Arabidopsis thaliana: one gene and its partner. The protein of the gene in region 1 purifies or fractionates together with the protein of each later gene. This does not show direct contact. Each region holds a gene or a part of one and is shown in the gene's direction. Other genes may lie near its edges. The genes, in order: AT3G18940 and AT3G25545.

Region 1 (4,854 bases):
CTCAACAATAATACTTGCCTAGTTATTAATTCTTGTTTTAAAAGCGATTAAACTGTTTCTTCTCACATTTATATCAACTAATTTATTTTTATTTTATTTTTGAGAAAAATCAACTTAATTTCAGTCTATAAATTAGTAATTAGTTTTAGTTTTAGTTTTTTTTTCTAATATTCTAACTTGTTGTTTCTGAAATGAGTTTTTTTTTTCATATCATGATTTTAATATAAACCAAAAGGATAGCGATCAAGAAACGAAACATAATGTACCCAATGGAAGAGACAGCCAACATCAGAAAGTCTTCGCATCTCATTTTAAATGATTAACTCATTCATTTGAATTATTATATTTAAATTGTCATCATATGATATGGATCTCTCTGGATAATAATTGTCTTAACAATCACTTTAATATTTCGAGTGCATTTTTTAGAAATTTTTTCTTTTAAGTTTTATTAATATAAAAACTATATTATAAGCCTTTTTTCTAAGGTCAATATTTTGGTTAGGGCTTTCGATTAATTATACGTATGGACTTTAACTTAACAAAGTCTAAATTTGTGTTTAATCTATAACTACGATAGTTTTGTTTGCTTGAATTACGATAGTTGTTTGTTTTGTTTGTAGGTTTTTTTAACTCTGAGGCTTGTTTTGTTTGTTTTGTAGATGGTTAATTATGAATCTCATTTCTTTTAAAGGTTTCTCAACACTTGAAATGATTGCCATATTGAATCAAAATCTTGATATTCTTCAAAATTGGAAGTGACGCTCTTACTCTATTAGCTGAGAGTAAGTTACGCTCCAGCAAATTCAGGATCATCATAGGAATCTTATAAAAAAAAAAGCTTCCGCCGTTCCGCCCCTGAATTATGAAGATGAAGTTCAGAATTCTTCTCATGAGTCTTGAGTCTGAATCTTGACCAAAAAAAAAAAAGTCTTGAATCTGCGTACGTAATTACTACATTTTTTTAAAAAAACGTCTTCTCCTAAATCATGTAATTACTACTTTTAAGAAAAATGTCGTCTGAATCTTGTTATTAGTACTTTATTAAAAAATCTTCTCTTTTTAGTCTATGTTCTGAAATGAGTAACCTCATTTTTGCATCCAATGCGACGTAATACTAGTGCTTCTTTAATCAAAACTATAACCCCATTTCTGTAGGTACTTTTTTTAGATAGAACTATCCCTAGTGAAAGGTGCTTGATATGACCAGCCTTCTTCTACTTATTTAAAAGGTACTTGATATGACCAATCACTTGATATAAATTAAAGAATATGACCAACAGAAATTAAGAAAAAACATTGTACCGGCCCTGCTCTCATCTCTTTCCAATCTTATATATATGCTTTGTTCCTTTTTCCCTCAAATGGTTCACTTCAATAGTAGATACTGAGATACATCAACTTTTTATTTGGTTGTAGAATGTTAGCATAAGTCGTACTAACTACATTTACACCGCATGTAGTAGATTATAGACTTTCATTTCTTCTTTTATTTTCTCGTCACCTTTTTTTTTTTTGGACAAAATCGTCACCAAGTATATATACTCTACAGTTGTAGTCCATCATCTTTTTCCTTTATTGGGCTTTAATATGGCCCATATTACATTTGATTGATAATATCGGCCCAAATTAGTCACTGGCTTTCTCTTCAAGCTCGACCAAAGAAGAAGAACTGTTCTGAACGCAGGCAGAGATTCTTCGAACTTGATATTTGGGAAACTTGCAATCCGATTCTGTCACCAGTGTTTTGCCTTCATAAATGGAGTTTGTTGTTGAAGAAGGAAAGCTAGTGAATGAAGATTGCTCGACTTTAGTTCTCGTAAGTTGTTGTTTCGTTTCCTTTGCTTTTCTCCGATTTCGATCTGTTCTCTGCTTCTGGGTATTCGTTCCCTTTCGATATTTCCGTCTCTAAAGCTTAAAAACTGTACCTTTATTGAAGAGAAAATAGAAATTAGAAAGTCCCCAACTTTTCTTGGGAACATTGAAATCCCACGAAACAGTCATGAAACTTGTAGGAAAAAGGTTTAGGGTTTAGTAGCATTTGATGTTTCTCATAAAACAAATGTTGTAAAGATTTATGATTGATGAAGTTTTGATTTTGTTTCCCCCCACCAGCCAGCATTGTCAATTGGGAATGTAGGACAGCTCGCTGTTGATCTTCTAGTGTCATCTACTGGTGCAGAGAGAGTTGGTTATCTTGATGATCCAAATCTGCTTCCTTGTGTTGGAAATGATGCTTATGGCCCTCTTCCTTGTGGCGAGATCGCCCTTCCTCTCGAGGGTTCGTTTTCTCAAACTATATGCTTTGTTTAAGATCAATGAGTGCTTTGCTTTCTTAGATTAAGGATCCTCTGTTTTACATGATTAAGGTGTTATATAGGACAATAATAACACATTATTTGCCTTTGTATAGTTTGATGCCTAGATCTATGCCACTTTGTATTGTTGAATCAAACCTTTTATACTTGTGAAACCTCATTCTTTTCTCCGCTTTGGTTTTGTGTTTTCAGTTTATGAGTCATCTTCAATTGCTACTACCCTTGCTCAGCAACGGTCTCCAGTTGCAAAGGTATTTACATTGTTGGCAGCTTTGTCCTCGTTATTTCGAATCCTGTTTTTTGAAGGATTGCATTCAATGCTTTTTGTGTTGGGACTATGAAATGTCAATTAACTGGAGCTTTTCAGTAAAAAGATTGGGAATTTTAGTGAGTCATTTTTTAACTTACAATGTTGATTCAAAACAGGGAATGATGATTAAATTTGCGGAGAATATAGCCAATTTTGCTGCTTCAAGTGGAAAGAAGCACATCATTGTGTTATCGAGTTTAGACTTCCAAAGGCTGCATAACTTGGATATGTCGAGGTAACTATAACGCTTCCTTTTATATGTGTTTTGCTATAACTTTTTTCGTATGCCTTCAATGTAGAACTAAATATAGTCTAGTGCAAACAGCATCAGAGGTCTCTAATCACAGATTTGATTGATAAATAAATGAGCTTCACTTGCACCTTTTTCTTTCCACATTCTTAATTTCTTACTAAAAGCAAACTCTTCACAAGTTAATTCGTGGTCTCCTTGGCAATTACTTTAGAGGCCCACAGGTGTATTATCTGTCTAACGCTGAATCTGATGGAAGAGATGATCACTGTGAAAGGCTTGGGTTTGGAAGATTGCACGAGTATGATTCAGAAGGAAGATGTTGGAAGTACCTTAGCTCTGTCTTTGAAAAGAACAGTGTAGAAGAGCTGGCGTTGCCTTCAGAAGATGAACTTGAAGACATAGACTACTATCCAAGCTTGCCATTTGCAGCTCTTTTCTCAGCTTTTAAGGTAGATAAAATGCCTTATAATGAACAATGTAACCACTACGACTCATTTTTAGATGATTGAAACACTTATATGGCCTGTGCGGGGTTTATGTTGTTTTGGGGTTAGGCAAGAGGCTTGAAGATGACATGCCTGCTATGTTACTGTTCTGAAGGAGACAACATTCCTGAAGCATTTCTTCTAGCTGAGGCTTCATCTAAGCTTATGGGTCTGACTCCTGACAAGTTCCATGGTAAATAGTTCTATTCTTCCGAGGGTAACAACACCCGGGCAATTAATAGTGAGAGGCGATGAAACTTACTATGAATATTCTTTTCTGCAGGGGAAGAAGGTGGGAAATGGCAGATACCGTATTCATGGAAGAGTATGTATGGAGCTCCTCCGGATATGTCTATGTTTTAAGACTGTTGTTGGAGCTCACAGTGTCAGACACCGAGGTTGTTGTAGTGGTACAATTATGATCCAATGAGAAGTTTATGAACATTTGAGATGGTTTAATCCGATAGAGACACCTTTTCTTTCTTTCTTTTTTTTCAGTTTTTCATCATCAAATCTGCTACTGTATAACAACAAAACATAACAAGTAGAATTACATTATTAGACAAAAATGTATCTAGGGAGACAGGATCATAAAATAGGAGAGATTCAATCACGTTCTGAAATTATGTTTTTTAATCAAGAAGTGAATCTTTTTTTGTTATCAGTGGGTATATTATGAAATTTCGTATGATTCTAAACAAAGAGGATAAGATGCTAAACCAGAATCCGTGTAGTAAATCCTAAACCGAACAACAGTTAAACTCATGTCTCATCAGACCGGAATGCATAATGTATTTGATGTGACCGGTTATGCGTTTTCTCTGTGGATGCAAACAAATATAGCTTTGCATGAACAATAATAATGTAAGAAATATCTCCGGGACTAAAAGAAAAAGAAAGTAGTTGTTGAGCAATAAATTCTGGAGTCATTGTGTTTTATTGTATAGATAGACCAAGGCAAGTACTTCTGACCGGTTTTAATTTGCACCTTTATTGCCACCAGAATTTTATATATGTAATTTCTGACCAAGTAAAATACATGCAAATAGTTTTCGGTTCTTGAAAGAACTGATGGGGTCCTAACTTATGTACATGTGATTTGGTTAGTGGAGTACTTCTTTTTCTCACATATTTTGAAGACTAGTACAAAGTATATATGTTTAAAAATTACAGTCTTTAACTTGTCTATCATAATTTTGATTCTTGAACTTTATCATATTTACTAAACCTTAACATTCACATATGATGTCATTTACATAAAATTAATATTCGTTGAATATATTTGCCACCGAATAAGCATGTATTGGTGGTCAAAACTCATAATCATAGGAACAATAAACTTATACTTCATTAAATAATAGAAAAACATTCATTATAACAAATTTCTAGTTCACTAGAAGCAGATATTTGAAGTGACTTGAAGTAAAAATGTGTTAAAACTAAGTTGAAATTTTATACTTCATTACATCACCAAAAAAGGATAAATTC
Region 2 (4,308 bases), 2.7 Mb from region 1:
AGTGACAACATAAAAGACAGGAAGAAAAATAGTCCAAAAGTTCGAAAATTTAAAGAATCAGCTTGGAAGTGTATTTACTATCTATCAGCTGAGCTACTTGCTTTATCTGTCACATATAATGAACCTTGGTTTTCAAATACTCTCTACTTTTGGATTGGTCCTGGAGATCAGATTTGGCCTGATCAACCAATGAAGTAAGTTGTTTCGTTATGGTCATCGATATCTTTTGTGATGGTCATTTGCTAAAATATGATACTGCTATGTGTGCAGGATGAAGTTGAAGTTTTTATATATGTTTGCTGCTGGATTCTACACGTACTCTATATTCGCGTTGGTGTTTTGGGAAACAAGACGGTCTGATTTCGGAGTTTCCATGGGTCATCATATCACAACGCTTGTTCTCATTGTCCTCTCCTATATCTGCAGGTACGTATATTATACACTTGTGTTGTGGAGGAAAGGATACACTGACTCTTGTTTTGTTTTTGGATGTTGATGATATAGATTAACTCGTGCTGGTTCTGTTATTCTTGCACTTCATGATGCGAGCGATGTGTTCCTTGAAATTGGGAAAATGTCTAAATATTGCGGAGCGGAAAGTCTCGCGAGCATTTCGTTTGTTCTTTTCGCGCTGTCTTGGGTCGTTCTACGTCTCATTTACTATCCTTTTTGGATCCTGTGGAGCACGAGGTTTGTTTAATATCCACTTTAGCGTTTGTTCTTGAATGTTTTTTCCTTGATGTATATATATTGTGGGGTTTTGATTTGCAGCTATCAAATCATTATGACTGTGGACAAAGAAAAGCATCCTAATGGACCAATCTTGTACTATATGTTCAACACACTTTTGTATTTCTTGCTTGTTCTTCACATATTCTGGTGGGTTTTGATTTACCGGATGCTTGTGAAACAAGTGCAAGATCGAGGCAAGCTTAGCGAAGATGTTAGATCCGGTACGCAATAAAAACTCTTATTACAATATTTTGAGACAAAAACACTCTATTAATAATGTTCATGTCTTTTTGCAGATTCTGAAAGCGATGATGAACACGAGGATTAATCGCATGTTGGGAATATTAGTAGTGCACACGCTCTATATCTCATGAATCTGAACCACACGGAGACTAGGAATTTCAACATCAAGTAGGATGCATTGCAGTATTTGAACAGTTGGTTCATCATCTTCCAGAGGATCGTAACCGGATCAAACCGTTTTGAATGAATCGGTTTCTCAATCTGAATTTTTGAGTTTATTGTTTTCTCTAAAGTTTGAGCAAATTCAAGATTTTGATCAAACTGCTCCACGTTCTATTGTTTTTTCTTCTATAATTTTTAATTTACGCTTTTGCAATAACACAATTCCTTGTATCATTATACTAATGTCATCTCAAAATTAGCTCCCTTCAACATCTATGCAACAGACTAACAACTAAATGAATTTTCTTGGGGTTTTTTTTGGTTCATTGCATAATTTGATAAAATCCAATAAAATACTTGGAAAGGATAAAAGAAGAATAATTTTTCATAAATGAATGAAAAAAAAATCAGCATCTTTAGGCGCACAATAGTATCGCACGATAGCGACGCACAATAGTAGCGCACGATAGCGGCACATAATAGCGACACGCCTATGGGATTTGTTTGAGGTTTTAGCTTTCTCGCTGTCTTGGCCGAGAAGACTGAAACCAATTGCAACAAAAAGAAAGATAAAAAAAAACAAAAAATCTCTTCTTTGTTCATCATCATCGATCGATTCTACTGCAACAAGGTACGTCTTTTTCACTTCCTTCTCTGAACAAAACTCTAAATTTTGTTGCTTTTTTTTTTCCTGTGTCGTCTCGCGCTGCGATTCTTATACATCTTGGCTTCAAGTGATACTTTGCTTCCCAACTCTTGAAATGTATAAATTTTGAGACTTTACTGGAGATTTTGAGTTGGGATTGTTTTCATGTTCTTAAAGATTCGAGTTTCGATCTCTATATGATTCAGTAGATTGTAATTTTGAATCGGATGTCTGGAAAAGAATTGATTTTATAGTCTCTTAGGTTACTTTAAGTAGTACTTTGCATAAGATCTGTGATTTGATGATTGTTATCTTTTGTTACATTGCTGGTGGAGTATAATAAGATGAGCAAGAACCAACAGAAGTTTGCGTTTGATTTAGGTTATTTAGCAACTAGTCCTGTTTTGGTGTGTTTCTAATCTCACTCACTGGGTCTCTCTTATGTGGAATATAAGATATTTGATCCTACGACTGTTAGTGCTTTCATGCTGGGTTTATAATATGGATACAACTGAATTCCTGGCATTACATTTTTTGTTCAGAACCAATGAACTGTTTGTTTAGGTGTCATTGTTATCTAAGTGCTTGCATCCTTCTTCTGATGTGTGTGTGTCTTGATACAGGTCTGTGAGATTTTGATAAAAGCTAAGATATGGAAGATGTACTTACCGAGAATCCTCCACCTTCAAGATTCTTCCAAGAAGATCTTAACAACTTTGTTCAGCCACCTGAATCCCTTCCATCTCCTTTCATCATATTCTCAAACCCGAAACCTGAACTTCCTCTCCGACCATCTCTACTTATCATAGCCATATCTTCACCTTCCCTCTATATTTTCCATAGTTTACCTTCAAAGACTCTCCTTGGAAGTCTCATCATGCCTGAAGTTCCGTTTTCTGGAAACACCATGGAACCTTCTTTAGAAGACAAATCCTGCAACATATATTCCTTGAGTAGTGCTGATGATAAAAACTTGACCCTCCTCGTCTCTGTTCAGCTTCCTGTATCTCCTGAACGGTCTAACCTAGTCTCGAGATTGCTCATTGCCAAAGACATTATCCCCGAGCGGGTGATAATCTTGGATTCCATTCAGAGCCGTAACTTCAGAGGTAGACTCTCACCAGACGAAACATTGGCAGCCAAACTCGAGACATCTGCTGAGAAGAAAGCAACAACTCACACCGGTTTAGTGAATCTCGATTACTTCCCATCAGGGAGTGTAATCGACGGTCTGAGTGCTTCACTTTTGAGCCGGTGCCAGCTAAAGAACATAAGAGGAACATTGGTGATCTCATGGCCTGAGTTTGGTCCTTCAGTGATAAGATTCGCCGGAGCTCTGCTGAAGAAAATTGTCCCGAGTTTGGATGTTGCGAGTGTGAACAAAGATCTGGAGAAGAATTCTTCAAGAACTGGTCTTAAAAAGGATACTTGGCTTGACTCTGATCTATATACATGATTCAGAGACAGAGTAATGAAAGCTTCTCACTTGTTTCATGTTTCTATGCTTACTAGGAAAAAACAGAGACCTTATTTACGCTTGTGTTGTTCTCATTGCAAAAACAGTTTTGTTTCATTTCTACATTGTTCTTAGGTATGTGAGGACTTGTGATTTTTCTTAGTACACACAAATTATTGGGCTAACAACAATTTAGCGGAGTCGAACTCAAGTGAAAAATGTGGAACCACTTGACTGAAGACACTTCCCCGTTTTGGTTACAATCTTTGTAAAACGAAACGAATTTTCTTCATCCCAAAATAAGCCAACACATATCATGGGAAAGATTGCTTCGTCCTCTTCAGAGAGAGGAAGAAAAAGAAGAAGTGAATATCACGCAAGAGATATTGAAAGAGAAACCGAAAGAAGAAGACGAAGAAGAGAAGAAGAAGCAGGAGATGATCATGCATCATGGAAGAGAAAGCAAAAGAAGAAGAAGACAGGTTATTAAGATACCAAACGACGATGTGTTGGAAGAGATTATAGTAAGGCTTCCAGTGAAAACCCTAACTAGATTCCAAACCGTGTCTAAACACTGGAGGCATACGATAAAGTCTAGGTAAATCAGGAAGAAATACATGTTGCATCAGAAAACAAAAGAACCCAAATTTCTCTGTCTCTATGAAGTTAGAAGAAACGGGTCTAAGCCAAGCATTCGTTACAAGACCATGAGGTTGGAGTGGTCTTTGAGTCGTCTAGTGGGAGAAGAAGAATATTTAACTAGCAAGAAACACAAAGAGAGGCGGATACTATTTTCCAAGAGTGTGGATGGTCTTTTTTGTTTATATAGTGGTGTGGACATGAAACAGCCAATTATGGTGATAAATCCAGACACAAGATGGTCTAAGAAGCTCCCTCTTGCTAGGATTCAACGAAAGAATTATTTAGACAGCAACAAGGTAGAGTTCTCTCGCCTCGGGTTTGGAAAAGACAGCGTCACAGGAACATACAAACTAGTGTGGTTACGTACCAAAACAAAGAAGAAAATAAAAGAGGAAACCTCATCGACGATGACATGCGAGGTTTTCGA

The links.
Region 2: the proteins of AT3G18940 (region 1) and AT3G25545 fractionate together in Arabidopsis thaliana (co-fractionation; one large-scale study listed by BioGRID). This does not show direct contact.

Annotation. Positions count from the first base shown.
Region 1 is NC_003074.8:6,525,956-6,530,809, reverse strand, and holds AT3G18940 (clast3-like protein), read left to right. Parts: upstream 1-1,636; 5' UTR 1,637-1,759; coding exon 1,760-1,819; intron 1,820-2,115; coding exon 2,116-2,281; intron 2,282-2,510; coding exon 2,511-2,569; intron 2,570-2,744; coding exon 2,745-2,863; intron 2,864-3,092; coding exon 3,093-3,330; intron 3,331-3,435; coding exon 3,436-3,559; intron 3,560-3,649; coding exon 3,650-3,729; 3' UTR 3,730-4,076; downstream 4,077-4,854.
Region 2 is NC_003074.8:9,275,202-9,279,509, forward strand, and holds AT3G25545 (trigger factor), read left to right. Parts: upstream 1-1,643; 5' UTR 1,644-1,768; intron 1,769-2,406; 5' UTR 2,407-2,435; coding exon 2,436-3,239; 3' UTR 3,240-3,490; downstream 3,491-4,308. Other genes in the region: TRAM, LAG1 and CLN8 (TLC) lipid-sensing domain containing protein, read left to right, coding at 1-194, 271-426, 505-690, 772-953, 1,029-1,060; AT3G25550 (F-box family protein), read left to right, coding at 3,677-3,837, 3,913-4,234.